4 linked regions of the Arabidopsis thaliana genome follow. The protein of the gene in region 2 purifies or fractionates together with the protein of the main gene of each other region. This does not show direct contact. Each region holds a gene or a part of one and is shown on either strand. Other genes may lie near its edges.

Evidence for each region.
Region 1: the proteins of emb1441 (region 2) and AT1G76810 fractionate together in Arabidopsis thaliana (co-fractionation; one large-scale study listed by BioGRID). This does not show direct contact.
Region 3: the proteins of emb1441 (region 2) and AT1G21160 fractionate together in Arabidopsis thaliana (co-fractionation; one large-scale study listed by BioGRID). This does not show direct contact.
Region 4: the proteins of emb1441 (region 2) and AT1G76720 fractionate together in Arabidopsis thaliana (co-fractionation; one large-scale study listed by BioGRID). This does not show direct contact.

The regions. Positions count from the first base shown.
Region 1 is NC_003070.9:28,830,711-28,838,430, forward strand, and holds AT1G76810 (eukaryotic translation initiation factor 2 (eIF-2) family protein), read right to left. Parts: upstream 6,039-7,720; 5' UTR 5,803-6,038; intron 5,674-5,802; 5' UTR 5,601-5,673; coding exon 3,677-5,600; intron 3,592-3,676; coding exon 3,029-3,591; intron 2,942-3,028; coding exon 2,834-2,941; intron 2,741-2,833; coding exon 2,640-2,740; intron 2,545-2,639; coding exon 2,454-2,544; intron 2,367-2,453; coding exon 2,256-2,366; intron 2,159-2,255; coding exon 2,093-2,158; intron 1,971-2,092; coding exon 1,911-1,970; intron 1,829-1,910; coding exon 1,271-1,828; intron 1,172-1,270; coding exon 1,052-1,171; intron 929-1,051; coding exon 812-928; intron 722-811; coding exon 656-721; 3' UTR 192-655; downstream 1-191.
Region 2 is NC_003076.8:20,307,520-20,314,714, reverse strand, and holds emb1441 (zinc knuckle (CCHC-type) family protein), read left to right. Parts: upstream 1-1,822; 5' UTR 1,823-1,978; coding exon 1,979-2,083; intron 2,084-2,183; coding exon 2,184-2,296; intron 2,297-2,381; coding exon 2,382-2,478; intron 2,479-2,563; coding exon 2,564-2,688; intron 2,689-2,805; coding exon 2,806-3,289; intron 3,290-3,381; coding exon 3,382-3,567; intron 3,568-3,677; coding exon 3,678-3,971; intron 3,972-4,057; coding exon 4,058-4,210; intron 4,211-4,296; coding exon 4,297-4,451; intron 4,452-4,543; coding exon 4,544-4,649; intron 4,650-4,741; coding exon 4,742-5,593; intron 5,594-5,693; coding exon 5,694-5,775; intron 5,776-5,884; coding exon 5,885-6,178; intron 6,179-6,258; coding exon 6,259-6,455; 3' UTR 6,456-6,682; downstream 6,683-7,195. Other genes in the region: AT5G49920 (Octicosapeptide/Phox/Bem1p family protein), read left to right, coding at 7,132-7,195.
Region 3 is NC_003070.9:7,407,426-7,415,165, forward strand, and holds AT1G21160 (eukaryotic translation initiation factor 2 (eIF-2) family protein), read right to left. Parts: upstream 5,625-7,740; 5' UTR 5,180-5,624; intron 5,057-5,179; 5' UTR 5,031-5,056; coding exon 3,716-5,030; intron 3,624-3,715; coding exon 3,076-3,623; intron 2,994-3,075; coding exon 2,886-2,993; intron 2,792-2,885; coding exon 2,691-2,791; intron 2,595-2,690; coding exon 2,504-2,594; intron 2,424-2,503; coding exon 2,313-2,423; intron 2,205-2,312; coding exon 2,139-2,204; intron 2,015-2,138; coding exon 1,955-2,014; intron 1,844-1,954; coding exon 1,286-1,843; intron 1,202-1,285; coding exon 1,064-1,201; intron 984-1,063; coding exon 867-983; intron 762-866; coding exon 696-761; 3' UTR 506-695; downstream 1-505. Other genes in the region: AT1G21150 (Mitochondrial transcription termination factor family protein), read right to left, coding at 1-345; SEC5B (Exocyst complex component SEC5), read left to right, coding at 5,625-6,044, 6,373-6,530, 6,645-6,730, 6,846-7,040, 7,124-7,251, 7,337-7,495, 7,629-7,733.
Region 4 is NC_003070.9:28,793,643-28,800,892, forward strand, and holds AT1G76720 (eukaryotic translation initiation factor 2 (eIF-2) family protein), read right to left. Parts: upstream 5,235-7,250; 5' UTR 5,169-5,234; coding exon 3,362-5,168; intron 3,280-3,361; coding exon 2,732-3,279; intron 2,648-2,731; coding exon 2,540-2,647; intron 2,449-2,539; coding exon 2,348-2,448; intron 2,239-2,347; coding exon 2,148-2,238; intron 2,062-2,147; coding exon 1,951-2,061; intron 1,862-1,950; coding exon 1,796-1,861; intron 1,670-1,795; coding exon 1,610-1,669; intron 1,508-1,609; coding exon 1,291-1,507; intron 1,265-1,290; coding exon 951-1,264; intron 860-950; coding exon 740-859; intron 634-739; coding exon 502-633; downstream 1-501.

The sequences.
Region 1 (7,720 bases), on a different chromosome or scaffold from region 2:
TGCTTTAAAACTCTTGTCGTATACTACAAATCTTATGTATTATTTGCATTCATGCTTTTCACATCTCCATAAAAGGAGGAGCAGCTTGCTTTTAGTTACACATTCCATATTATTACGAAATCAAAATATTTGTTTTCAACAAATAATCTTATAATATACGTATATTTTGATAAACGAAGATGAGCTTTCACCAAAACTTCATGACTGTAACTTGATATTAGATGTGATAATTCATTTTTGTAAGTATTTTCCCTTAACGGAAACTCAAGATTTGACACCACAGAGAACATAGTAATTGGACAAAAACATTTATTCGAATATTTTCCTTTGTCAACAAAAATGGAAATAAGTCAAAAAAAGCATATATAAAGATGATATGTGGTATATCTCAAGACCCAAGGCTCTTCTTTCCCCTGCAATTTGCCAGCATGAAGGTTCATGAACCAATTATTCAGCACTTTTCAGGGAGAAAGACCAAAAAAAGAAAGAAAATAAACCAAAAACAAAAACTCTCTCTTGTCTCTCTTTCAAATCTTCTGTGAAGGCTTCTCCGCTAGAAGCAGGAAGACGAATCTATTTGTTCTGCATCGACGCAGACACGGCATAACAAGGCATGTGAGAGTGTTTCAAGCTCCAAAGTAGACATTTGAATCTCCTACTGTATCTTGAAGATGTTCTTCAGTTTCACTACTAGCTTCCATTCTTCCAACGATAATTCATCCTGCAAATTAGTTTGGGTTTTTGATCTACATCAGTTTTCCTATCAAAATGATGATTTAAAAGGGGAAACAAGCTCATTTTCTCCACTTACCCGGTAGTTAGATTTTAGTATGTCGATAGATCTCCTCGATATGTGACTCACTAGCTCATCTTCCATGTCAAAGTGCCTTCCAAACATCTTCTGTTCTTCAGCATTCGAACCAACAATCTGTATACCAAAGAAACCATCGATTACGAGGCGTGAAACTGAAACCGCAGCAAACATAACTCTTTTCTTCTCTGTAAGCAAAAGATTTGCAACCTTGTTAAAACAGAATGATCCAATTATTACCTTTATTGCCACCTTGTTGCCCTTCTTTGCATAGTCAACAGGCTTGTGGTTATTCTCAATCGAGGCAATTCGGCCAATATCGATGAACTCTCTGCCAGGGACGCAAATGGGGGTTCCAATCTGAAAACAAACAAGACAGATAAGAAAGTGTGAACCCTAGCACTTGTGTCATCATGGGTGAGAGTTACAGAGAATGTAGGAAATTAAAAGCATAGATACCTTAAGTATACCCTCGATGACATCAACTCCAAGGACTATTGGGTCTTTCTTATTGAACACACAGTTAGGTAAAATCTGAAGGACACATGGGAAGACTGCCTCATCGGCTGATTCCTTCTTTTTCTCCTCTTTGATATTCTCAATGTAAGCCTTAAACAGATCAAATAGATGATAGATGATATCAGCGCAGAAGATCTTAACTCCCATTTCGTCTGCAAGTTCACGAGCCTCTGTAGTAACTTTCACATCAAAAGCCAAAATTGTAGCATATTCCTTTTTTCTCTCGAGCATAACTCCTGCCTTCATTACATCCTTCTTATGCACAGGCCCTATGCCAATACCACTTACAGGTATCTTTACAGCTGGGGACTTCAAGTATTCAAGCAATGCTTCTAATGACCCTAATGTAGACGCTTGTACATAAACTCCTTCGCCACTTTTGTCAATTCTGCTCAAAACCGACTCCATATCTTCCATAGCCGACTCCTTAATTGCCTCGATGTCATCATCAGGTCCAACCACATGCAGGGCAGTACCAGCAATTGCGTGTTCAAGGCCCTTTTAAACACAACCCAAAAATGGTTCAGGATGTGATCTAAACATAAGTATATTTAATAAAGAATATAGAAGTCCATTTCACCTGGGCAGTAATCTTGATACCCTGTGCAGCCTTTATTTCTTTGTAATGCAGATAAGTACCCTGAAACATCAGACCAGGAATTCTCATTGTGTATAGAAAAAGAACCTAGGAAGTGATTTGCATGAACCATATTTCTGGGGAATAACAGTAATAAAACACATGAAGTGGAAATCAGAAAGTACCTTCACCCGTAACTCCTTCATTGGATGCGGGGTCAGTAATGCTCTAATTGTTGTGACAATAGGTCCCTGAAATATGAGGAAGAAAATATGATCACTTAGAAAAGTTCTATGTCTACCCAGTGCCATCACTTGTTCGGGTCTGGATCATAAGTTTTTTACTTGCCTGTAGCCCACAAACGACGATTTGATCACCTTCATGGAGTTCACCGTTTACCAACACAACATCAATCGTTGTACCATGGCCTTCAATAACTTTGACCTCAAGTACAGTACACTGTTCAACAATTTCAAGAAAAGATCAGAAATCCGCATGCTGAAGTATTGCAGAAACAAGTGTTACCTAAAGAGAAAGGAAAGAGACCTGCACTTCGTCAACATATGTAAGTTTCTCAACCATTGTTTTCTGAGCCCATTGAACCAACCACAGCAAGAGATCTGGGACCCCTTCTCCACTGTAATATCAAGAACCAACGTTACCCAATTACGTTTAGGATGAATAACTTGTCTGTTACGCTGTATATTACAAACAGTAAATAGAGATTCATACCTAATAGCACTAGTAGGAACAATACTGAAAGTGTCTCCCATGTCTTTATTCTTGTAATAAAGCTCAGTGTTAAGTCCTTGCTCCTGGAACTCGTTTATAATCTGGAATACCAATGAAACAACATAATTTGAACAACATGTACACAAATTGATAGCTCAAACCATACAATAAGAAACTCTAGACCTATAACTTACATTTTTCAGCCTCAAGTTAAATTCATTTATAACATCTTTATTTTGCTGCTTCATTGCCTTCACGATAGGAGCATTCTTGCATGTTTTCCATCCATATAGCCTATCCACCTGGAGGAAGGTGAAGATATTATTTTCCATATAGGTTTTGCAACAGAGAAAAAAATCCCATCCTCGCAGAATGACAATTAGTGTTACCTTATTCAATGCAACAATGAACTCTGTATTCCTCATCCTCAAAAGATTTAGAGATTCTATGGTTTGTGGCTCTAACCCATGCATTATGTCCACCACCAAAATTGCAAGGTCACACAAACTTGAACCTCTTGACCGCAGATTCGTGAAGGACTCGTGGCCAGGTGTATCAATAACTAATAAACCTGGCACCTTGAGTTTTGCATCGGCTTTCAGTTCCTTGGTCCTCTCTCGGATGTTTTCAGCTGGGAAATATGTTGCACCAATCTGCTGAGTAATACCTCCAGCCTCGCCTTCCTGTACATTTGTTCCTCTGATGCAATCCAACAGCTTTGTCTTACCAGTATCGACATGACCCATGATGCAGCAAATGGGAGAGCGGAGATTTTCTTCACCCTCAATAGATTCACTTGGAGCTAAGCCTTTACCCTTCTTAGAGGCATCTTTTGCTCGGGTAGCACGTTTTGTCCGTGTAGCATCTTCCACTTCAGGTGTAGCTTTTACGGCAGCTATTAGTGGTTTGCCTGTACCTGCTGGTTTAGCTGTTGGTTTTTCAGCTTCAGGTTCTGTGTAGAAATGCAAAAGATTAGACAAAAATCAGACAATGGATGGAACACTAGGAAGAACAAAGAACTAAATTTTCATACTAACCTGAATCATGCGCCTTTGATATAGCATCCTTTAATTCTTTCTTAACCACAGGCTGAGCTTCTTCCTCCTCGTCATCAAAATCACCTTTAAGGTTAAGATCGACCGTACCCCAGCTTTTCGCATCCCATTCATCTTCTTCGTCATCTTCCTCAACCCCATTTTCCTGAGCTACATCAGCAGGTCCTGAATTTTCGTCTGTGTTTACTAACTCTATTAAATCAACCTTTCCAGTGTCTGTTAAACCCACTTCACCTAAAGTATCTTGTTCATCTGCTTGATTCTCTTTTGGCTCTACCTCATCTTCCCCCTGAACAGAAGTGTCAATGCCTTTCTGGCGAGATGATTTTTTCTTGTTGGCGTAAATGGGACGCTTTGAGGAAGTAGCATCACCATCATTATCTGCAACAGGAAGACCTCCACCAGCAGCAAGTAACTGGTTCTTAAAAGCCTCCCTCTTTTGAGCTTCAGTCTTTTGCTTTGCTGTTAGAAGCTTGCCCTCTAGCTTCTTCCTCAACAGTTTCTCCTTTTCCTTTTCCTTTCTCTTACGCTTAGCCTCCTCAGCTTGAGCCTCAAGCTCTTCCTGCCTGCGGCGCTCCTCTTCCTCCTTCCTCAATTTTTCTTCTTCTTCCTTCTTTTTTCGCTCTTCAGCTTCTTGCCGACGAGCAAGAGCCTCTTGCATCTCTCTAACATGTTTAGGAATTTTCTTCTCTGCTGCTTTACCCTTTGCATCCTTCTTCTTCGGCTGTAGTGGCTCAGTTACTGATTCTTCTTGTTTTTCCTCCTTAACCTCTACAGAAGAGGTTGCTGCAGCAGCAGCTGCTGCTTTTTTCTCCTTCTCTTTCTCCTTCTTCTTTTTCTTTTTCTTCGCAGCAGCAGTCTCTTCTTCTCCTTCCTTCTCACCAGCATTCTCCACAGGTGCAACTGGCTCAGGCTGAGCTGCTTTCTCTTCTACAGGCGTAGATGAAGCAGGTCTTTCAGCAGCAGGGGTTTCTCCAAGTGCTGCAAGAAGTTTGTCCAAATCTTCCTCTTCCTGTACTGTCCTTCCACTCTTGTTATTCTTCTTCTTTTTCTTACTCTTTCCAGTTTCCACAACCTCCACATTCTTAGTATCAGAAGTTTTAGTTTCGTCTGCAACTGAGTCATCACCTACTGAGGCCAAAACACTGCCGCCCTTCTTTTTAGAAGATTTCTTCTTACCTGAAAACGTTACTTCAGGGCTCTCTTCATCTTCAATTGTATTTTCGTCGTCTCTAGAGTTTGAAGCATCAGTCCCTTCTTCTTCATCGAGCAAATCAGCGGTAAACGAGTTAGTGTTCTTCTTCGAAGACTTAGATGACTTCTTTTTCTTACCAGAGAAGGTGATAGGAGACTCTTCTTCCTCATCTTCGTGCACTTCCTCTGTATCATCATCATCACTACCAAGTGCATCAAAAGCTGAAGCGGCAAATGAATTACCGCCTTTTTTACCCTTCTTAGACGCATGCTTCTTACCCGTAAAACTTATAACTGGCTCATCATCTTTGTCACCATCAGATTCATTATCCTCCTTCTCATCTTCATCATCAAGCAAGGCAAAGCTAACAGAACCACCGCCCTTCTTACCTTTCGACTTCTTCTTCCCAACAAAAGCTATCTCAGGAACATCGTCTTTCACCCCCGCAGCCGAAACCTTATCAGAAAAATCATCATCATCATCCTGCTGCGTACCCTTCTTATTACCTTTCTTACCCTTCTTCTTCCCAGTGATAACAACAACCTTCTCTTCCTCAACTTTAGACTCCTCAGACAACTCAGTACCTATTGAGTACTCATCGTCATCAATTTGAGCACCTTTCTTCTTAGATTTAGTAGCACCAACGAGAGATGACGCAGGAGGTTGCTGCTCAGCATCTCCACCTCGAGCACTCGGCTTCTTCCGCCCCATTGGAAAATTTCAGGTCTGGTTCAGAATTGGTTCCGAATTCTTCCGACTAATCAATAAATCGAGGTGAAATTTCCTACAATTCGAACGGAAACAAATTAGGTTTTCTGGGATCGGCACAACACAATCCTTTTAGAAAATGAAACCACAAGAGAGACGAGGAAGCGATACTGTGGCTAAGAGGAGAGAATCGAAGAAGCTTTACCTTATTCCGGAGAGGAATTAATCGATAGGCTGAGCTAAGTTTAGAGAGAGAGAGCGCGGCGCGGAGAGAGAGAGAGAGAGAGAGAGAGAGTAGAGAACCGAGAAATAGCGAAGCTTTGAGAAACCGGCGTGAAGCTTCCTAGGGTTGAGCTAAACGCTGTGTAGATTTTACCGATTCTAATAAAAAAAAATTGTGACGTTTGTTAAATACTATTTTTTTCTCCGTTTTCTTTCTCGATAGTGTTATTTTTTCTTTTAAAATAAAAGATATGTCATATTCTTTGTTATAAAATGTAATTTCTGAATGGGATTCAACAGTTGTAATTTTCACGTTTTAATATACTGAAATCTAACTTATATAATTAAGACACATAAATTTTATTAATATGGACTAAAATAAGGGAAATCAGCATGATTTAGCTGTTTAAAGTATTCATTTAAAAAAATAATCTTCTCGCGTTATGATTTGTTTGAAATACTTTTCTAAAACATATCCGCATCCAATGTTTTTTGTTTTTGGAAGTTTTTAAGAGAGAGCTTTGTTAAGGCATGAGCTTCTCGATTCGTTTCTCTAGGAACAAAAGAAAACGTAATTGCTTGAAAAGACCTAGGATTGCCACTCGCGTGCAAGGGAGATTGCTTGAGACCGGGTTTCTCTCGGAGAGTCGTGGCGGTCGTTGAAAATTTTCTAGTTTCGGGCAAGTCAGTGAAGTATGATCTCACTCCAGCTCAGGTATCATGGAACATGAACCTTTGGCTTATCTCTGATCTTGACTCATCTCTCTCCATCCTCAACAATGGACACATGCTTCTTTAGCTGACTTTTGTTAGATAGGCATAACATTCATGCTTGTGTGGTTTAGTAGAAACACTTTTCGACTGTCTATGATTGATTCAGCCATTCAGGTGAGAACGGGGCAGATATATTATTCCTTTTTCTTTTGCTTTTGATTTTGTGAATTTGGGCTTGTTAGAAGAAAATGATTAATGTTTGTAAATTGGGTTTTGAATATTGGGCTTGGGAGAGGAGCTTTAATAATTGGGCTAATAATGGATTGGAATTAGAGTTGAGAAATTAGATTAAAAAAAGGATTAGATTAGTGATGAAGTAAGAGTTTTTGCTCTCTCTCAAACGGCTCGCTTTGATTACTCACGTAAGGTAAGCTTCTTCGATTCTCTCATCTCCTGTGTCCTTTGTGCCGATCCTCAAAAAAAACTAATTTTTTTTTACCTGGATTGATTGATTAGCCGGAAAGAATTTGGAACCGGCTCTGTAATTTATCCATGGGTCGGAAGGAGCCGAGTTCTCGAGGTGGAGATGATGAGCAACCACTTGCGTCATCTCTCGTTGGTTCTAAATCTGATAAGAAATCTGTTCAAATTGATGATGATGAATACTCAATATGTCTTGAGGAGCCTAAAGTTGAGGAAAACAAGGTTGTTATCACTGGGAAGAAGAAGGGTAAGAAAAGGAATAAGAAGGGTACGCAGCAGCAGCAGGATGACGACGATGATTTTGCTGATAAGTTTGCGGTGGAGGAAGAGGTTGTTCCGGATAATGCTTTTGTAGGGAATAATAAGAAGTCGAAAGGTAAAAAAGACGGTGGCTCTGTTAGCTTTGCCCTGCTTGCTGATGAAGATAACAGGGAGGAAGCAGAGGATAATGATATCACGTTTTCAGGTAGGAAAAAATCATCTAAAAAGAAGAGCAGCAGTGTCTTGGCCTCAATAGGTGATGAAGAAAGTAGTCAATCTAAAACTTCTGATTCTAAGAGTGTGGAGCTTGTAGAATCGGCAAGGAGTAAGAAACATAAGAAGAAGAACAAGAGTGGAAGGACACTTCAGGAAGATGATGATTTGGACAAGCTTCTGGCAGAACTTGGAGAAACTCCTGCTGCTGGAAAGCCTGCTTCCGAAGA
Region 2 (7,195 bases):
AATGATTACTTCCCCCCTCCTGCACACTAATATTGCAGACTCTAGTAGAGATTGGCCTTGAACTAAATTAGGAAAACAATATATGATCTGATTTTGCAGATTCTAGTAGTTAGACTTTAATTCCTAATTTCTTCTATCGTAATTTAATAAAATAATACACATAAACCAAAATGAAGAAACTTGAGCCATTAGTTATAAGCAGAGGAAAAGAAAAGAATGATGATCAGTTCAAGAATCATAATCGTGATCTTGCTTTTCGTCTTCACAACAAACTGTAAGTACATTTCAGATTTGCATAGTTGCATATGTCGTATAGTTAAGTATCTGATTTCGCACAACAACAAAAAAAAAGTGAAAAAAAAAACTGAAGTATCTGATATGAATGTTTCTAGAAGTCTAAACCGTGGATTGTTTATTCACGTATGTGGAAAAAGAATAATCAAGAACAAGTCAATCTGTGAATTGGAAAACAATCAACGTTTCTGTTTAGATTTAGGAAGTTGCCTATAATTTTTTATTTTTCCTTATTTTCTTTGAATGCTTGTTTACGTTTACTTATAAATAAGGATGTAGTCTCGTTTTTGAAAAGCATCCAAGCAATTGAGAGTTTTGGAGGATTCTGTCGAATTAGGCCGAGGAGAAGAGGACGTAGTTTCTCTTTGAGGAGTTTTACTCTAATCTTGTTACGCTATCATTTTCTCAGTTTTAATAAAGAGAGTTTAGAGATTATTTTTGGCTTCTAACAATTGGTCCGACCTAAAGATCTTATTTATCTAACTTTCCATATTGTTTTGTACACATTCAGCTTTAACAGAACTAATATCTACATTCTCTACCACTTCTATTCACTGTTCATCTTGTGAGCAGGAAAAAAACCCGAATCCATAGTATTTCTGTGTGTATCCATTCACAAGAACACTCTTTTTCGCGGTTCCTCCCTTCTACCCTTTATCCAACACCACAAACTTCCTAATTCTCCATAAAGATATGGTAAAGTTCCTTAAGAGTCTAAATCATCGAGTTGATACCGTTGCCATTAGGAACATAAAAGCAAACGAAAAGCTTCATCAACTTAAAGTATATATCTCTATTTTTCCATTAGGCACAAATAGATTTAGTCAAATGGAAATGGCCCTAATTGACTTGTCTTCAGCAAAAAAGATTACAAGCCTCCAGCAATATTTGGTGAATACTATTTTAAAGCCGATATGTACCATCATTTCGCTGGTACGTTCAGTATTGATTATGACGTCATTATTATAATGAAAACAAGTACTAATAATAACATTAATTGGTTATGACGGATTTGATATATGTTCAAAATTTGCTTGAAATATGCACAAATTGTGCTCAAAATATGACAAAAACATATGATCTAGTTATTTGTGCAAATGTTATCAATGTGTCATTTTCGAGTCTAAACCCAATAATACAAGTTGTAGACAAAAAAAATGTATTCATTCACAATTTTATTAACCAATTGTGGGAAATAAATATATTCTTAAAATAATTAGGAGAAAACCTTATGGTAAAACTACTTTCACCATAAATTGCAGCTTACTCTATCAATTTGATTCTTGAATAGGAGTTGAATATTTTAGTTACTTTATTTTTGCTGCATAGATTTTATTGTTCATAAATAATACATACAACTGTTATATGTGGATTATTTATCAATTATCAATATTCAAACTGAGACAAATTAAAAACTTCTCTAATTAGTGTATTAGACTAACCGGTTTTAAAAAAGCATGTAATTTTGATTGGTTTAGATAACTAATGATCGTCTTTTATATTGGGCTTATAGGCCCTTCTAGTCGGCCCAACACACATGAATAGCTCACAAATTTCTCTTCTCCTTCTTCCTCTTTTCTCACAGCTTAGCACAGACCGAATTTTAATTTCTAACTTTGACAAACAGATTAAAACCTTTCTTCGATTCGACACTGAATCACGAAATTTCGAGAGAGACTAAGATATGGTGAAGGTACGAATGAACACGGCGGACGTCGCCGCCGAAGTCAAGTGCTTGAAGCGATTAATCGGTATGAGATGCTCCAACGTCTATGATATATCTCCCAAGGTAACAAATTTCTACAATGAAAAGCTTCAAATCCCCTGATTCATTTGATTCGATTTCCATTAGGGTTTATGTTTTGATTTTGCTCCAATTTCTTCTACAGACGTATATGTTCAAGCTCTTGAATAGTAGCGGTATCACAGAATCTGGTGAAAGTGAGAAAGTTTTGCTTTTAATGGAAAGTGGTGTTCGTTTACATACCACAGCTTATGTCAGGTAAAAACCCATCTCTAGATTTTGAGCTTTTGTTTTGGGGAAGTAGTAAAGTAATGATTTTTTTTTCTCTCACAAATTTGTGTAGGGATAAGAGTAATACTCCATCTGGGTTTACTTTGAAGTTGAGGAAACATATCAGGACTAGGAGGCTTGAGGATGTTCGACAGCTTGGTTATGATAGGGTATGGAACTTGGAGTTTTCTATTGTGTTTTGTTTGGTTGCCATTTATTGCGTTTTTTGGTTTTAACTTTTGTTGTTTGTACCAGATTATTGTCTTCCAGTTTGGGCTAGGTGCTAATGCTCACTATGTTATATTGGAGCTGTATGCTCAAGGAAACATAATTCTTACTGATTCTGAGTATATGATCATGACACTCCTCCGCTCTCATAGGTTTGTTTTTGTTACTCTACTTTTATCAGATCGTTTGTTTTTGCTATGTTTGAACTGCTCAAAGTGCTTTTGTTCGTGTGGCTTTTTATACTGAATGATTGATTTTTATTTCTGTAGAGATGACAATAAGGGTTTTGCTATTATGTCTCGTCACCGTTACCCGATAGAGATATGTCGAGTCTTTGAGAGAACAACTGTTTCAAAGCTTCAGGAATCACTTACTGCTTTCGTGCTTAAGGATCATGACGCAAAACAGATTGAACCGAAGGAGCAGAATGGTGGCAAAAAGGGTGGGAAGTCAAATGATTCTACGGGTGCCAAACAATATACATTGAAGAATATTCTTGGTGACGCTTTAGGCTATGGGCCACAGCTCTCAGAGCACATTATTCTGGATGCTGGTCTAGTTCCAACTACCAAACTTTCAGAAGACAAGAAATTAGATGATAATGAGATTCAGTTATTGGTTCAAGCGGTGATCGTTTTTGAAGATTGGCTTGAAGATATTATAAATGGTCAAAAAGTTCCTGAAGGTTATATTCTAATGCAAAAACAAATTTTGGCAAATGACACGACTTCTGAATCAGGAGGTGTTAAAAAGGTCACTATTTTACTCTATGCTTCTTCATTTTTGTATTGTTTAATGGCAATGGATTTTATGTATTGAATTTTCGTTTGCCTGGTTGCCTACAGATGTATGATGAGTTCTGTTCAATCTTACTAAATCAATTCAAATCAAGAGTGTATGAAAAGTTTGAAACTTTCGATGCGGCTTTAGATGAGTTCTACAGCAAAATTGAGAGCCAAAGGTCTGAACAACAACAAAAGGCAAAAGAAGATTCTGCCAGTCTGAAACTCAATAAGATTCGCCAAGATCAGGTTTGTAGTATTTATTAATGTACTGGTTTGGAACTTCCATTTCCATATATCTCTGTAAAACTTTTCTTTAAACTTATCTTAATTGCAATGTTTCTATACTTGTGTTTTAGGAGAACCGTGTTCAAATTCTGAAGAAAGAAGTCAACCATTGTGTTAATATGGCGGAATTAATCGAGTACAACTTAGAAGATGTAGATGCTGCCATATTAGCTGTTCGTGTAGCACTTGCAAAGGGTATGGGCTGGGATGATCTAGCTCGCATGGTCAAGGAAGAAAAAAAATTAGGAAATCCTGTTGCTGGAGTCATTGACAGACTTTATCTGGAGAAGAATTGCATGACCTTGTTGTTGTGCAACAATCTCGATGAAATGGATGATGATGAGAAGACGGTTCCAGTGGAAAAGGTGTTGATCTCTCCTCACTTTGATTGAATATACAAAGCTCATCTTCTTTCTTGTTCTGACATATGGAGCACGATGTGGTTTTGTAGGTGGAGGTTGACTTATCACTTTCTGCGCATGGTAATGCTAGGCGCTGGTATGAAATGAAGAAGAAGCAAGAAACCAAACAGGAGAAGACTGTTTCTGCCCATGAAAAGGCTTTTAGAGCAGCTGAGAAAAAGACCCGCCACCAACTTTCTCAGGTAAGCTTCCAACCTCGTCGCTGTTAATCTTGTTTAATGTTTCTTCCTCGCAGTCAACTAATCATTTGCATTTTTCTGGCTGAAAGGAAAAAGTGGTTGCAACGATTTCACACATGAGAAAAGTCCACTGGTTTGAGAAATTTAATTGGTTCATTAGCAGTGAAAACTACTTGGTCATCAGTGGTCGTGATGCTCAGCAAAATGAGATGATAGTTAAACGTTACATGTCAAAAGGAGATCTGTAAGTTTTAATATATAGAACTATTTATCTAGTCTTTGTGTTAGTATTAAATATTCAAAGATGATGATAAGTTTTTAACCATGCTTTCTTAGGTATGTACACGCAGAGCTTCATGGAGCATCTAGTACTGTGATAAAGAATCATAAACCTGAACAAAATGTACCGCCTCTCACTTTAAACCAAGCTGGATGTTTTACGGTAAGCAATTTCATCTACTATTTTGGTTGTTTGAATTATGTGAATATGGTGCAATGTCTTGATGGCAGACTTTTGGATATAATATGATGCAGGTTTGTCATAGTCAGGCCTGGGATTCCAAGATTGTTACTAGTGCATGGTGGGTTTATCCTCATCAGGTCACTAAAACAGCTCCTACTGGGGAATACCTTACAGTTGGAAGTTTCATGATACGAGGTAAGAAAAACTTTCTTCCACCACACCCACTCATCATGGGTTTTGGATTATTGTTTCGTTTGGACGAGAGCTCCTTGGGAGCTCATTTGAATGAGAGAAGGGTAAGAGGGGAAGAGGAAGGAATGAATGATGTAGTCATGGAAACACATGCTCCTGATGAGCATTCAGATACTGAGTCAGAGAACGAAGCAGTGAATGAAGTGGTTTCTGCCTCAGGAGAAGTTGATTTGCAGGAATCAAGTACGGCATTGAGCCAAGATACTTCTTCTTTAGACATGAGTTCATCTGGTATTACTGAAGAAAATGTTGCATCAGCCACCTCACAGCTTGAAGATCTTCTTGATAGAACCCTTGGTCTTGGTGCTGCAACGGTGGCAGGCAAGAAAGATACAATAGAGACATCAAAAGATGATATGGAAGAGAAGATGAAACAGGAAGAGAAGAATGCAGTAGTGAGAGATAAGCCTTATATGTCAAAAGCTGAAAGAAGAAAGCTTAAGATGGGCCAAAGCGGCAACACAGCTGCTGATGGTAACACTGGGCAAGAAAAGCAGCAACGAAAGGAAAAAGACGTTTCTTCTTTAAGCCAAGCTACCAAGAGCATACCTGATAACAAGCCAGCTGGGGAAAAAGTTAGCCGTGGGCAAAGGGGTAAACTTAAGAAAATGAAGGAGAAGTATGCTGATCAAGATGAAGACGAAAGAAAAATACGGATGGCATTGTTGGCAGTAAGTACTTCCCTTGGATTCTCCATTTTTTGTCATAGACCATCATTGTTCTCTTATCAGTACTTCATAACTGGTAAATTAATTTGTCTCCCCTTTGCAGTCGTCTGGAAAGCCACAGAAGACTGATGTTGAATCACAGAATGCAAAAACCGCGGTCACTGAAGTGAAGAAACCTTCTGAAGGTAAAAAATTTCAATTTTGTCTTTTTTCTTCTGAAATTGTTTCCGGGCATACACTTTCCATTAGACTGGAACCATATGATACTGATAGTTGCTTTGGGTTGCTGTGCAGAGACAGACGATGCTGTGAAAATATGTTACAGGTGTAAGAAGGTTGGACATCTTGCTAGGGATTGTCATGGGAAAGAAACTTCAGACATGGACAAAGTGGTGATGGAAGAAGACGATATTCATGAAGTTGGGGACGAAGAGAAAGAAAAACTGATTGATGTCGATTACCTTACTGGTAACCCGTTACCAACCGACATCCTTTTATATGCGGTCCCCGTGTGCGGCCCCTACAATGCTCTCCAGTCATATAAATACAGAGTCAAAGCGATTCCAGGCAGCATGAAGAAAGGAAAAGGTAACAACACATTCTCTTCCAAGTAGTTGTAAATGTAGAGCTTTTGGACTGTATTGATGTTGACTTTTGTGTTTGGACAGCTGCAAAAACTGCAATGAATCTGTTCACACATATGTCGGAGGCGTCAGTAAGGGAGAAAGAGTTGATGAAAGCTTGTACGGATCCGGAGCTGATGGCTGCTCTTGTCGGGAATGTGAAGATCACAGCAGCAGGTTTGACGCAGTTGAAGCAGAAACAGAAGAAGGGCAAGAAAAGCGGGAAACAACAACATAGCTAGGTTTTAGGTAACTGCTGCGTTGCAGCGAAGAAGGCTTTTACAAACATATAGCAGATTGGTTCATATCTTTGTATGTTCACTCTTGCAAAAACGAAACATCATGTTACAGCCCAAATATTATCAGAATCAAAGTGATTTGAAAATTTAGTAAATTTTGGCTAAAGAGAGCTCTAGTTATGAACTAATACATTTCATTATCAGTAAAATCCATAAATAGCTGAAAACAATCTCAAAATAAGCTTTTAAATCCTACGGCATGGATTCTTCTACTCCTGTTTTTTTTGCTTTTAAAACCTTTTCTGCTTCATTTTTTCTTGTTTTGTAGAGAACTCAGAAATAATTTGCGAATTACAATTTGATCAAACCTCTCTTCTTCTCCTCTTTCTTCTTCCTTCTTCATCAAAACTATTACATTTCTACATTATCTCAAACATCTCCAAATCATTATCTTACACGAAGAAGGAAGAGATAAGAGCATCAATTTTTAAGTATCGGGGTTTCAATTTGCATTCGATCTTTTATTCCATATTTTACTATTTGATTTGATTTTACCAAAACCTAAAAAAAAAATCTGCAATTTTGGGAGGGAAAATTGTCCTTCAAACTATTCTTGATTTCGTCTCTGTCCCCTCCAAACAATAACCAAAAGCCAAAAGAGAAGTGCTACAAAACATCAATGGCGGAGGAGAGATCGCCGAGTAAGGTGAAGTTCATGTGCAGTTTTGGCGGCAGAATCCTCC
Region 3 (7,740 bases), on a different chromosome or scaffold from region 2:
TTTTTGCTTTTCGAGATTCTCTGATTTCACTTGTGACACTGAACACAACGTTCTTATTCTACCCACTAAAAACCCTAAATTGACAATGCGACGAACAGTGGAAGAAGTAAACGCACAATCTACGACATTTCTACAGTGTAATAAGCTCGACATGAATACGAATCCTAAGCCAGTATCTCTTCTAAATCTCAAAAATTCTCCAACTTTGCAATAATCAAAATTCACCGGAAAAATCAGGTTCTCAATAGAGAATAGAGCTAAAAGACCGTCGTGAATACCTTTGAGAGCCGAAGAATTTCGTAGAGACTCCTGGAGATGTTGTCTTATTCCGGAGGACTGGCTCATACACGAGTGTAGGTAAAATAATCGATTCAAAATCAAAATGCGACGATGTTGTCTGAATCTGTGAATAGGTCCTTTATTTCTCTTTATTCATAGATTCGCCTCAAATGTTATTAAGTTACACAATAAGCCAGTCTGGGTATTATCTTGTAAATTATATGTATATCAAAATATTTTGTAAAATATTGGTAGCCAAAAACAAAAGACAATTGCTTCCATAAAGTATTTAGGGGCATTAAAGGAGTTGTTTGTCTATATTATTAAAAACGAAAAAAAAATAAAAAAATCAGCACTTCAAAAAAAGAAAAAAAATACATAAGTTTAAGTCCCTCACTCTCAAATCTCAAAAATCTTCATTGTATCTTGAATATCCTTTTAAGTCTCAAAACAAGATCCTTCTCGTCGTTAGATAACTCATTCTGCAATCAGGTTTCGAATATCAGTTTAAGCTTTACTAAAACACAAGCTAATGTTAAAACAACATTTTTGACAACCCAGGGCAAGAAAGACTGTATACAACTTACCCAGTAATTAGTTCTGATTACGTCCACGGATCGACTAGAAATGTGACTGATAAGCCTGTCGTCTACACCAAAGTGCCTCCCAAACATTTTCTGTTCTTCTGGGTTAGAAGCAATGATCTAATACGAAAACAAACATTAGTTTTTAAGGAAAGGCAGTAAAAACTAGAAAAATGATGACAAAAAGAGGGATCTCATACCTTAATAGCCACCTCCTGTCCTTTCCTTGCATAATCAACTGGCATGTTGTTGTTATTCTTAATTGATGAGACGCGCCCAATGTCCATAAACACTCTTACATTCTCAATCCTTTTAACAATGCAAATGGGAGTTCCAACCTAAATCAACAAGACCGTATTGTTAGATCTTTGTGATCCAGCAGAAAAGTGTACTCAGATCCTGAATGAGAAAATACCATATACCTTTAGTATTCCATCATTGACTTTAACTCCAAGGATAATTGGGTCCCTCTGATTGTAGATATGGTTTGGTAAAATCTGAAGGATACATGGGAAAACTGCTTCACAAGCTGTTTCTTTCTTTTTCTCCTCTTTGATACCCTCTATGTAACTCTTAAACTTATCGAACAGACAATAGATGGTATCATCGCAGAAGATTTTTACTCCCATTTTGTCTGCAAGTTCACGAGCTTCTGCACTTATTTTCACATCAAAGGCCAAAATCGTTGCAAACTCTTTTTTCTTCTCTAGCATTACCCCGGCCTTCATGATATCCTTCTTATGCACAGGTCCTATGCCAATACCACTGACAGGTATTTTTACATCTGAGGACTTCAAGAACTCGAGCAATGCTTCCAAGGACCCTAATGTAGATGCTTGTACATAAACGCCTTCACCACTTTTGTCAATGCGGTTCATAACTGACTCAATATCTTCCATGGCATTTTTCTTGGCTTCTTCCATGTCCTCATTAGGTCCAATCACATGCAAGGCAGTACCAGCAATGGCGTGTTCAAGGCCCTTTTATAAACACCAAAAATATAGGAAACATTTGTTCAGGATGTCCTCATTTGTGCTAAGTAATTAAGATCAAGGTAAGAATAAAGTAATTGTAATGTCAGAGACAATCACCTGTGCAGCAATTTTGATACCCTGCGCAGCCTTTACTTCTCTGTGAGGCATATAGGTACCCTGAAATATCAGACCAAAAATTGTCATTGTGTACGAAAAAGGAATGTAGAAAGCTATTTGCATAAACCATGTTTCCCTAGGAATAATAATAACAAGAGGCAAGAAATGGACTATCTGAAAGTACCGTCACCCGCATCTCGTTCATAGGATAAGGAGTCAACAATGATCTAATAGTTGTTACAATTGGTCCCTGAAATAGAAGAAAGGAAAAAAATAAACCAATTACATCAAGTCTCCAGTTTTATGATATACTTGGCATATTACATGTTTAGGTATGACCCATGAGTTTTCTACTTACCTGTGACCCACAAACAACAATTTGATCACCTTCACGGAGTACACCGTTGACCAAAACAACATCAACTGTAATACCATGGCCTTCAATAACTTTGACCTCAAGGACGGTACACTGTCACCATTTTAAGAAAAGATAAGAAAGCTGAAGTAGTGCAGAAACGATTCATTACCTAAAAGAGGAATGAGACAAACCTGCACTTTGTCAACATATGTAAGTTTCTCCACCATCGTTTTCTGAGCCCATTGAACCAAGAACAGTAAAAGATCTGGAATCCCTTCCCCACTGAAATATCAGTATCCAACATTAATCAATTAGTTAGTTAGCATGGTTGACCTCTATGTTAGACTAAAATTTGGAGATAGCAAAAACATTTCAGACCTAATAGCGCTAGCAGGTAGGATACTGATAGTTTCTCCCATTTCTCTGTTCTTGTAATAAAGCATACTGTTGAGTCCTTGTTCTTGGAACTGGTTTTGAACCTGGAACACAAATGAAACAATATTAGTTAATAAGTTTAGAACACGCACATCCCATTCACACTAAAAGATTAAAACCTTTAGACGAAGAACTTACTCGGTTTAGCCTCATTTTAAATTCCTTAACCACATCTCCCGTTTGTTGCATCATTGTCTTCCTTATAGGAGCATTCTTGCTTTTTTCCCACCCATATAGCCTATCCACCTGAAATTTGGAGGTTTTGTGCCATACATCAGTGACAATAAAGATACCAAACACATGCCAACAGAATGACAAGAAGTCTCACCTTATTCAAGGCAATAATGAACTTTACATTCCTTCTTCTCAAAAGATTAAGAGATTCTATGGTTTGTGGCTCTAGACCTCGCATTATATCAACCACTAGAATTGCAAGGTCACACAAATTTGAACCCCTTGACCGCAGATTTGTGAATGACTCGTGTCCAGGTGTATCGATAACCAATATACCTGGCACCTTGAGTTTAGCATTAGCTTGTAACTCTTTGGTCCTCTCACGGATGTTTTCTGCAGGGAAAAAGGTTGCACCAATCTGTTGAGTAATACCTCCAGCTTCACCTTCCTGAACATTTGTTCCTCTGATGCAATCCAACAGCTTTGTTTTACCAGAATCAACATGACCCATGATGCAGCAAATTGGAGAGCGAAGATTTTCTTCTACTTCTTTAGCAAGTTCATTCAGTACTAAGCCTTCATCCTTTTTAGAAGTATCTTTCGGCCGGGTAGTATCATCCACCTTAGGCATAGCTTTTTTGGCAGCTGTTTTTGGCTTGCCAGAACCTCCAGGCTTCACTGTTGGTCTATCTGCGCCAGGAACTGTATTGAAACCCAAAATATTAGATAAATCAGAGACAAAAGATAATAAAACCACAGGCTGAGGTTCTTCTTCCTAGGGTGTTTCTACTGACCTGAATCATGTGCCTTTGATGCAGTGTCTTTTAAACCTTTCTTGAACACAGGCTGAGGTTTTTCCTCCTCATCATCAGAATCACCCTTGATGGTAAAATTAGTTTTTGCATCCCACACATCTTCCTCATCACCATTCTCTTGTGATACATCAACAGATTCATGTGTCTCTTCTGTGTCTACTGATTCGATAATACCAACCCTTCTATCTTCAACTGAAACCAAGTCAGGTAAAGTACATGGTTCATCTGCTGCATGATTTTCCTTGGTTTCCCCATCACCTTTAGCCTGGACAGAAGCAGGATCGTTTGCTTTTTTGCAAGCTAATTTGTTTTTATTGCCATATATGGGACGTTTTGAGGAATCACCGTTTTTATCTGCAACAAGAAGACTTCCAGCATCAGTCAACACCCTTTTTCTGAAAGCCTCATTCTTAGCAGCATCACGCTTTTGCTTTGCTGTTAGAATCAGGCCTTCTTGCTTCTTCTCCATTTTCCTGATCTTTCTCTTCTGCCTAATCTCTTCAGCTTCCCTTTCTCGCTCTTCCTCTATACGGCGCTCCTCTTCCTCTTTCCTCAATCTCTCTTCTTCTTCCTTCTTCTTCCCATCTTCAGCTTCTTTCCACCGCGCAAGAGTCTCTTGCTTCTCTCGAACATGTTTAGGAACTTTCTTTTCCGCTACTTTAATCTTTACATCTTTCTTCCCTTGTCTATCCTCCTTAGCCTCCACAGAAGAAATAGCTAAAGAAGCACTTGCTTTCTTGTCCTTGTCCTTCTTCTTTTTCTTTTTCTTCGCTGTAGCTGACTCAACAGTCTTTTCTTCTCCGTCCTTGTCAACAGCCCCATCTGCAGATGCAACTTGCTCAGGTTGAGCTAGAGCTATCTCCGCTTCAGGCCCTGTTGAAACAGTAGTTGTTATCCCATGTTGAGCAAGAATCTTGTCCGCATCATCATCTTCTTCACATACCCCATGCTTGCCACTCTTATCCTTCTTCTTTTTCTTACTCATTGAAGTTTCTCCAACCACCTCATCACTCCTAATAGAAGGATTTTTGTCGTCTCCATCCTCTGCTTCCTCCTTGTCATCTTCAACATCGAGAAGAGCAAAGCTAACAGACCCGCCTTTCTTCGATTTCAACTTCTTTTTCCGAGCAGAAAAATCAATCTCCTCAGCTTTAGGTTTCTCACATAGCTTCGTACCAATAGAGCCATCGTCGTCAGTCACACAGCATCTATTCTTTGATTCAACACCTCCCATGGATGAGATAAGGGGGAGACCATCACCCCCACCCCACGCACTCGAATTCCTCGGATCCATTGATAGAAATCAAATATGAATATAGCCTGTGATTAACCCCCAATACCGAAAACAAAACATACAATAAGGTATCCGATCATTAACTCTAGAAACAACAACAATAAATCAACAAAATCAACTACAATGTTCAGAGCGATAGAGAAGATTACCTTTTTCTGTAATGGGTTTAACTTCATATTAGGCAAAAACAAACTCGGAAGATTGACGGAACAAAAAACAATTCACCGGAGAAGATCAGGTCTTTCAGGAGAAGAGTAAGCAGGTGATTTCTTTTCGTTGCAGAGATATATTTGAGAGCTTTAGGGTTTCTGAACGCAATTCAGGTTTGTCGCGTCGTATTTATAAATTTCGATCGAAGAAGAAAGCTTGAGTAAGGAGAATTTATAACTTTTAGGTTAAAATAATCAACGACTGCGTTTTGTGAGTCTCCAGTTTTTATTTCATTAATACATGGAAATTGGAAAAAGTCGAAAACAGAAGAAAAATTCTTCAAAGGAAAAAGTCACAAAACTAAATTCAAATAAGAACTGCACAGATCTCTGCGATTAGCTCAAGGGAGGAAGACAAAGACGATCATCTAAGTCAGAGATAACAATGTCTAGCAGTGATGATTTAGATGAAGATGAGCTACTTCAAATGGCGTTGAAGGAGCAATCTCAGAGAGATGTTACCTATCAGAAGCCTCCTTCCGCTAATTCCCGTAAGCCAGTCACCAATTTAGTGCAGCAGCCACGGAGACAAAAGAGGGCGGCAGCTCCTCCGTCTAAGGGAGGTGCGAAGGCGTCAAGGAAGCCATCGATGGATGAGGATGATGAATCGGAGGTGGAATTGCTTAGCATTTCGAGCGGGGATGAAGATGAGGGAAATGATCGGGGAAGAGGTGGTGGTGGTGACGGTGGCGGAGGTAGAGGAAGAGGTGGAAGTGGTAAGGAGAGAGGACGAGCGCGGAAGGAAGATGATAGAGCTTGGGATGGAGTGGAGCCAGATTGCTGGAAACGGGTTAATGAAGCTGAGGTACGGTTTCTATCATGTTTGGATTTATCTGGCTTTAAATTGATTTTGGAGAGATTATGTGTGCAATTTCGACCTACGAATTTCAATTGCATTGTTTTGATTTGAAGTAGTCTTAAGTAATCTTTGCTTCTTTGATCGATTTGAAGATTTGAAATTGAATCAATTCGTATATGTGATATTAGTTGTATGGCCTTTAATTATCTGTTCATGGAATTGAGGTGTAGAAGACCTCAGCTCAAGGCCATTAGTTATTTTAGAATCATGGCATGACGAAAAATTTAGTTGGAAATATGAACATTTTTACTGAAATGCTAATGACATTTGGCAGCTTGCACGCAAGGTTCGTGATATGCGGGAGTCGAGAACAGCACCATCCGTGACTCAGAACCTTGATAGAAAGGTATCTGGAGCTGACAAGAAAGTGGTTCTTACCAGTTTGCAATCATTCCCTCGTGGCATGGAATGCATTGATCCGCTAAAATTGGGGTACTTCCTCTCGTTTGTGCTGCTCACCTCTACCGTCATTCGAATACCTTAGTCTATCTCGGGGAACACTGTATGTTAGGGGGTATCTAAATATGGCTTTTGTGTACCTTGTAGGATAATAGATAACAAGACACTGAGATTAATCACTGAGTCATCTGAAAGTCTTTCAAAAGCTGAGAAAGTGGATAATGCACTTAGGGGTATGTATTTCTTCATGACCATACTTGGAATTTGGAGTTTGATTTGAACTTTATGCGGGATTACTCGATGTACAACTTCCGGTTTTCTAACTTTAACTGGTCTGAGAATTTGCAGAAAAGTTGGTGTACACCTCTGACCATTTCGATCCCAAGCTATTTATTTCTCGCATTCACCAAGAGACAAGTGCAGCAGACTTAGAATCTGGGGCCCTTGCCCTGAAAAGTGACTTAAAGGGCCGTAATCTACAAAGGAAACAATTGGTGAAAGATAATTTTGACTGCTTTGTCTCGTGTAAAACAACAATTGATGGTATGCATTATTACACTCAATTATCTATTTTGAACTTTACTCTTCTCTCTTGTTGATGTGAACATTACTGCCTTTCTTTACAGATATTGAATCAAAACTGAAACGGATTGAAGACGACCCAGACGGATCGGGAACTACTCATTTGTTTAATTGTATGAAGAGTGTGACATCACGGGCTAATCGTGCTTTTGAGCCACTTTTTGAGAGACAGGTTTGTATGGTCACGTACTATTGTTTTTTTGGTGTTTTCCTAGCCTCTTGCTATCTGCTTAGACTGTTTTCACCATTATTCATAGGCCCAAGCTGAGAAGATCAGGTCTGTACAAGGAATGCTTCAGAGATTCCGTACACTCTTCAATTTACCCAGTATAATTCGTAGTAGTATTAGCAAAGGCGAGTATGATTTGGCTGTTCGGGAATACAAGAAGGCGAAGTCTATTGCTCTCCCTTCTCATGTATGCATGCCCGATTATCCAACTCTTCAGACAGATAGCACTCATGTTTCTCCTAGTATTCGCTTGTTTGTTACCATATTATTCACTTGCATTACAAAGCTCTTGAAAGCATAGAGTAACACTTTGGTTACAGGTAAATTTACTCAAGCGCGTACTCGAGGAGGTTGAGAAAGTGATGCAGGAGTTTAAAGGCACCCTTTACAGGTCTATGGAAGATCCGAAAATAGATTTTACGAGTGTAAGTT
Region 4 (7,250 bases), on a different chromosome or scaffold from region 2:
ACTGTATATGATGATTGTAGCTCGGTTGAGTTAACCCTAATTAAGGTTTAGTGTGTAGACCGGGTTCAAGAGGCCTCTATATAAGTCAGAGTCTGTAACAAACTCTCTTTAACGAAATAACATGCTTTATATGAGAATTTAGAATTTCAATAAGATTATATAATTTCAGTATTACCTATTAAGAGTTTTCTTGATATTGGCTAAATTAATTAACAGGGTTACAAATTTCAGCCTAATATAGTTATTAAAAAAACGAATCAGGAAGATAAATCCCTTCGTTATGCAGCAGACACGACGTAACAACAAGGCCCGCGAGTGTTTTAAGCTCTAGAGTAGACATTTGACTGTTCAGGGAATCTTGAAGATTCTCTTCAGTTTCAATAGGAGCTTCCATTTCTCTGTCGACATTTCTTTCTGCAATTGTTATTGGTTTTAATTTCGAGCATTTGTTTTGGGTCAGAATAATGAGTCAAAGAAAACGTAGATGGGAAACAACTTATCTTATCCTTGACTTACCATGTAGTCAGCTTTGAGTATGTCGATAGATCTCCTCGAAATGTGACTCACAAGCTCATCTTCCATGTCAAAATGCCTTCCAAACATCTTCTGTTCTTCGCGATTTGAAGCAACAATCTGTTATACAACCAGAGAAAAGCATCAAGTTGAAACCTCAACAACTTTTGTCTCTCTCTCTCTTTCTCTATACAAAGGTTGTTGAAGGGAATGATCCCCTTATTACCTTAATCGCCACCTCGTCGCCCTTCTCTGCATAGTCAACAGGCTTGTGGTTGTTCTCAATAGAGGCAATGCGGCCAATATCTGTGAACTCTCTGCCCGGGACGCAAATGGGGGTTCCGATCTAAAACAAACAAGACGAATGTTAAAAGGATTGAGAATCCTTGGACATGTGAGCAAGTTACCGAGAATATAGCAGAGTAAGAATAGGATACCTTAAGTATACCGTCGTGGACCTTAACTCCAAGGATTATTGGGTCTCTCTTATTGAACACACAGTTAGGTAAAATCTGAAGGACACATGGGAAGACTGCCTCACCGGCTGATTCCTTCTTTTTCTCCTCTTTGATATTCTCAATGTAAACCTGAAACTGATTGAATAACTGATAGATGATATCAGCGCAGAAGATTTTTACTCCCATTTCGTCTGCAAGTTCACGAGCCTCTGTAGTCACTTTCACATCAAAAGCCAAAATTGTAGCATATTCCTTTTCTTCTCGAGCATCACTCCAGCCTTCATTATATCCTTCTTATGCACAGGCCCTATCCCAATACCACTGACAGGTATATTTACAGCTGGGGTCTTCAAGAATTCAAGCAATGCTTCTAATGACCCTAATGTAGACGTTTGTACATAAACTCCTTCACCACTTTTGTCAATCCTGCTCAAAACCGATTCCATATCTTCCATAGCCGACTCCTTCATTGCCTCGATGTCATCATCAGGTCCAACCACATGCAGGGAAGTACCAGCAATTGCGTGTTCAAGGCCCTTTTAAACACAACCCAAAATATTTAGGATATCATCTAAACGTCAGTATATTTAATACCAGCTGCTAGTGACAAAGATTATAGTAGAGTTAGTCCATTTCACCTGGGCAGTAATTTTGATGCCTTGTGCAGCCTTTATTTCTTTGTGATGCAGATAAGTACCCTGCAACATCAAAACAACACTTTTTGATGTGTGTTAAAAAAATTGACATCGGCAACAATTTGCATAATGTATGTTACTCGAGGAAAAAACAGTAACAAGAGACATGAAGTGGAGATCTAAAAGTACCTTCACCCTTAACTCCTTCATTGGATGAGGAGTCAGTAATGCTCTAATCGTTGTGACAATAGGTCCCTGAAATATGAGGAAGAATAAGCTCACTTTTCTAAGTTCTATGTATACCCAGTGCGTTACTTGTTTGGATCATTAGTTTTTTTACTTGCCTGTAGCCCACAAACGACGATTTGATCACCTTCATGGAGTTCACCGTTTACCAACACAACATCAATCGTTGTCCCATGGCCTTCAATAACTTTGACCTCAAGTACAGTACACTGTTCAACAATTTCAAGAAAAGATCAGAATCCGCATGCTGAAGTATTGCAGAAACAAGTGTTACCTAAAGAGAAAGGAAAGAGACCTGCACTTCGTCAACATATGTAAGTTTCTCAACCATTGTTTTCTGAGCCCATTGAACCAACCACAGCAAGAGATCTGGGACCCCTTCTCCACTGTAATATCAAGAACCAACGTTACCCAATTACGTTTAGGATGAATAACTTGTCTGTTACGCTGTATATTACAAACAGTAAATAGAGATTCATACGGCATGAATCATACCTTTTAGCACTAGTAGGAACAATACTGAAAGTTTCTCCCATTTCTTTATTCTTGTAATAAATCTCAGTGTTGAGTCCTTGCTCCTTGAATTGGGTTATAATCTGGAATACCATAGAACAACATAATTTGAAAAATATGTACACAAAGTGATAGCTCAAACCATACATAAGAAACTCTAGACGTATAACTTACATCAGTCAGCCTTATGTTGAATTCATTCGTAACATCTTTATTTTGCTGCTTCATTGCCTTCACGATAGGAGCATTCTTGCATGTTTTCCATCCATATAGCCTATCCACCTGGAAAGTGAAGATTTTATTTTCCATATAAGTTTTGCAACAGAGAAAAAAATCCCATCGTAGCAGAATAACAAGCAGTCTTACCTTATTCAATGCAATAATGAACTCTGTATTCCTCATCCTCAAAAGATTTAGAGATTCTATGGTTTGTGGCTCTAACCCATGCTTTATGTCAACCACCAAAATTGCAAGGTCGCACAAACTTGAACCTCTTGACCGCAGATTAGTAAAGGACTCATGGCCAGGTGTATCGATAACCAATAGACCTGGCACCTTAAGTTTTGCATCCGCTTTCAGTTCCCTGGTCCTCTCTCGGATGTTTTTGGCAGGGAAATATGTTGCACCAATCTGCTGAGTTATACCTCCAGCCTCACCTTCCTGTACATTTGTTCCTCTGATGCAATCCAACAGCTTTGTTTTACCACTATCGACATGACCCATGATACAGCAAATAATAGAACGGAGATTTTCTCCACCTTCTTTTATAAATTCACTTGGAGCTAAGCATTTACCCTTCTTAGCACGTTTTGTCTGTGTAGCAGCATCTTCTACTTCAGAAATAGCTTTTACCGCACCTGTTGTTAGCTTGCTCATACCTGCTGGTTTAGCTGTTGGCTTTTCAGTTTCATGGTCTGTAACAGTTCAAAAAATTAGATTAAAAACAGACATTGGATAAAACACTAGGGAGAAGAATTAACTACATTTCGTACTAACCTGAATCATGTGCCTTTAATTCTTTCTTAACCACAGGCTGAGCTTCTTCCTCTTTATCGTCAATTTTAAGATCAACATTATCCCAGCTTTTTGCATCCCATTCATCATCTTCCTCAACCCCATTCTCCTGAGCTACATCAGCAGGACCTGATTTCTCGCCTGTGTTTGCTGACTCTAGTAAATCAACCTTTTCAGTGTCTTCTGAACCCACTTCACCTAAAGTAGCTGCATGGTTTTCTTGTGGCTCTACCTCATCTTCCACCTGGACAGAAGTGTCATTGCCTTTCTGGCGAGATGGTTTTTTCTTGTTGGCATAAATGGGACGCTTTGAGGAAGTAGCATCACCAACATCATCTGCAACAGGAAGACCTCTACCAGCAGCCAGCAGCTGGTTCTTAAACGCCTCCCTCTTTTGAGCTTCAGTCTTTTGCTTTGCTGTTAGAAGCTTGCCCTCTAGCTTCTTCCTCAACAGTTTCTCCTTTTCCTTTTCCTTTCTCTTACGCTTAGCCTCCTCAGCCTGAGCCTCAAGCTCTTCCTGCCTGCGGCGCTCCTCTTCCTCCTTCCTTAATTTTTCTTCTTCTTCCTTCTTTTTTCTCTCTTCTGCTTCTTGCCGCCGTGCAAGAGCCTCTTGCATCTCTCTAACATGTTTAGGAATTTTCTTCTCTGCTGCTTTACCCTTTGCATCCTTCTTCTTCGGCTGTAGTGGCTCAGTAACTGATTCTTCTTGTTTTTCCTCCTTAGCCTCTACAGAAGAGGTTGCTGCAGCAGCTGCTTTTTTTTCCTTGTCTTTCTCCTTCTTCTTTTTCTTTTTCTTCGCTGCAGCAGTCTCAACAGTCTCTTTTTCACCCTCCTTCTCACCAGCATTCTCTACAGGTGCAACTGGCCCAGGCTGAGCTTGAACTTTCTCTACTTCGGGTGTCGATGAAGCAGGTCTTTCAGCAGCAGGGGTTTCTCCAAGTTCTGCAAGAAGTTTGTCCAAATCATCCTCTTCCTCTAATGTCCTTGCAACCTTATTCTTATTCTTCTTCTTTTTCTTGATCTTTCCAGTTTCTATAACCTCCACACTCTTAGTATCAGGAGTTTTAGCTTGACTAGTTTCGTCGGCAACTGAGTCATCACCTAGTGAGGCCAAAACAATGCTGCCCTTCTTTTTACCGGAAAACGTGATTTCGAGGCTCTCTTCGTCTCCCATTGTCCCTTCTTCCTCGTCAGGCAAAGCAACTTTATTAGTGGTCTTCTTAGAAGATTTGGAGGACCTCGTTTTCTTACCAGAGAAAGTGATAGGTGAAACTTGTTCCTCATCTCCATCCACTTCCTCGTCATCCTTATCACCACCAAGGGCATCAAAAGCTGAAACCGCAAAGCCTTTTTTACCCTTGTTAGACGCATTCTTCTTACCTGTAAAACTTATAACTGGCTCATCATCTTTGTCCCCATTAGATTCATTATCATCCGTTTCCTCCTTACCAGAAAGCAGGGCAAAGCTAACAGAGCCACCTCTGTTCTTACCTTTGGACTTCTTCTTCTTCCCTACAAAACCATTCTCGGGAACAGCCTCAGTAAAATCATCGTCGTCATCATGCTTCTGCGTAACCTTCTTATTACTCTTCTTCTTCCCAGTGATAACAACTTTCTCTTCCTCAGTATTTATGGAGTACTTATCTTCTTCATCACTTTGGACAGCTTTCTTCTTGGATTCAGCACCAACGAGAGATGACGCAGCAGGTGGTTGCTCATCATCTCCACCTCGAGAACTACTCGGCTTCTTCCGACCCATTGGTTCCGAAATCTTCCAACAAATCACCATGTATATTGTGATGACATCTTTTTATATGGCATTACCGAATCAAGCTCATGAATCTTTTAATTCAATTTTTTAATCATGATATTCTTAAATTTATTTTAAATCTTATCTTATTGAATCTAGCATTTGTTAAAATCATTCAAAATCTAGGATTTACAAACATTTATTAAAATCTCACCTTACTGCAAACTCAAAGATTTCATTCTAAAAAAGAGACCAAAATAACTCATAGTTAAAACTATCTTCAAATAAAGTTATTTTTGACATATTTAATTATTATTTTATTATATTAACTCTTTTATATATATATTGAATATTAATAAATGTAAAATATAAACTTAAAAAAAAACCGAATCTCAATCTAAACAAAATTTACTTTAACTATTAATTAAATTTTTACTTTAAAATAATCAGTGTAATCACATTAATCAAAGACCTTTTCATGTGCTATCAACATTAATCATTTTCTTCTAAAAATCCCAAATTCACATTAAAACCCAAAACCAAAGAAACAAAGGCAAATATACATACATGGCACACAACTGCAATATCAATATGACTGCATCTGCATGGTATATAAATTATACAAACGGGATTTGAATAAGTAAGAAACTGCTACAGAGATACCTCTGATCTCACCTGAATCAATCATAGCCAGTCATAGAGTGTTTCTCTGCGGCAGGAGGTGGGAAGCAATAGTTGAATTGTTCATCTCCAAGTTTGAATTCTTCCACGTAGGGGCTCTGTGGTTCCTAAGATTATCCAACAAGAAAACAGTTTACCTTTCGATTTGAACTTTTTTGAAGAGACTCAGACTGATTCAGAGTGCTTATACTATAAACACAGGCATGAATGTTATGTCTATCTAACACAAGTCAGATAAAGAAGCATTTATCTATTGTCGAATATGAGATGAGCTTAGTGAAATAGAAAGATCAAAGATAAGTAAAAGATTCATGTGAAATGATACCTGAGGACCAGAGCTCAAGTGAGATGCTTCACTGGATTTTGGTGACGTGGAGGTATCCTCATCGTGGTCCTTTCCATTTCCGTTTAACTTTTTGAGATTCATTATTTGCTAAAGGATCACTCTCATAAGCTGTGAAAAGTTAAATCCTTGAGGCCTCTACTAATTAACACCAAGTTACGTTTTGAAACACTATCCAAAACATCCAATATAAGCAGAAAATACAACGCACACATTTCCACTCATACATAGAAAATTAACAGGAACAACACCAATTCCAACTCTCATTCCGCAGTGTTTCATTGAAAGTAGCTTCCTCTATATGTTACAAACTTACAATACACAAATCTTATCAGTTATCACCAAAGTAAGTGATTCCAAGAATGAAAATTGTTAAAAGCTCAATCTTTTCTGAAATCTCAACTTACCTGCAAATTTTGTCACAAGGGAGAAATTTTGGTTTTATCAATTTCTGGGATTTTAATATCTACACAATTTTATTGGGAAAGGAAGAAACTTGCTTCTACAAACGAAACCACCGGAAAACTGAAGAAGGTTTGGTTACCTGAGAGTTTGAGAGAGAGAACACGACGACGACGAACAAAAGACGGCGTTAAAGGTATTTTTCACGGCGTTAAGAATTAACTGTTCACTGTGCTCTGTCTCTTCCGCTTGTTTCATTTACGATTGGGCTTTTTCTGGGCTTCCTTGTTGGGTTATTTTGTTTTGTCGTCAAACTGTTTCATTAATTTTAAAAAAGAGTACAAGAGTGACCAAAGCCCAATTACACAACATCAAAGCCCAACTATAAACCCAACAAAAAATTACAACTAAATAAACCATTATTTTTATTTTTGTTTCTTGCTTGTGAATTGTATATTCGATTACAAATTTTGAGATGGCAAAACAAAACAAAACAAAAAAAGGTTAAATTATAGTATAGTTTTATGAAATTCTTTGAAAAATGTCACATTCTTTTTTTTTTATCTTTATAAAGGTCACAATATATTTAATTATTAGATATACTTAAACATATGTTGTGACTTAACTAATTACTAGATTTAACATATAATCTATTTAATATTAGATTATAATATCAAACACATGTTATGATCTGA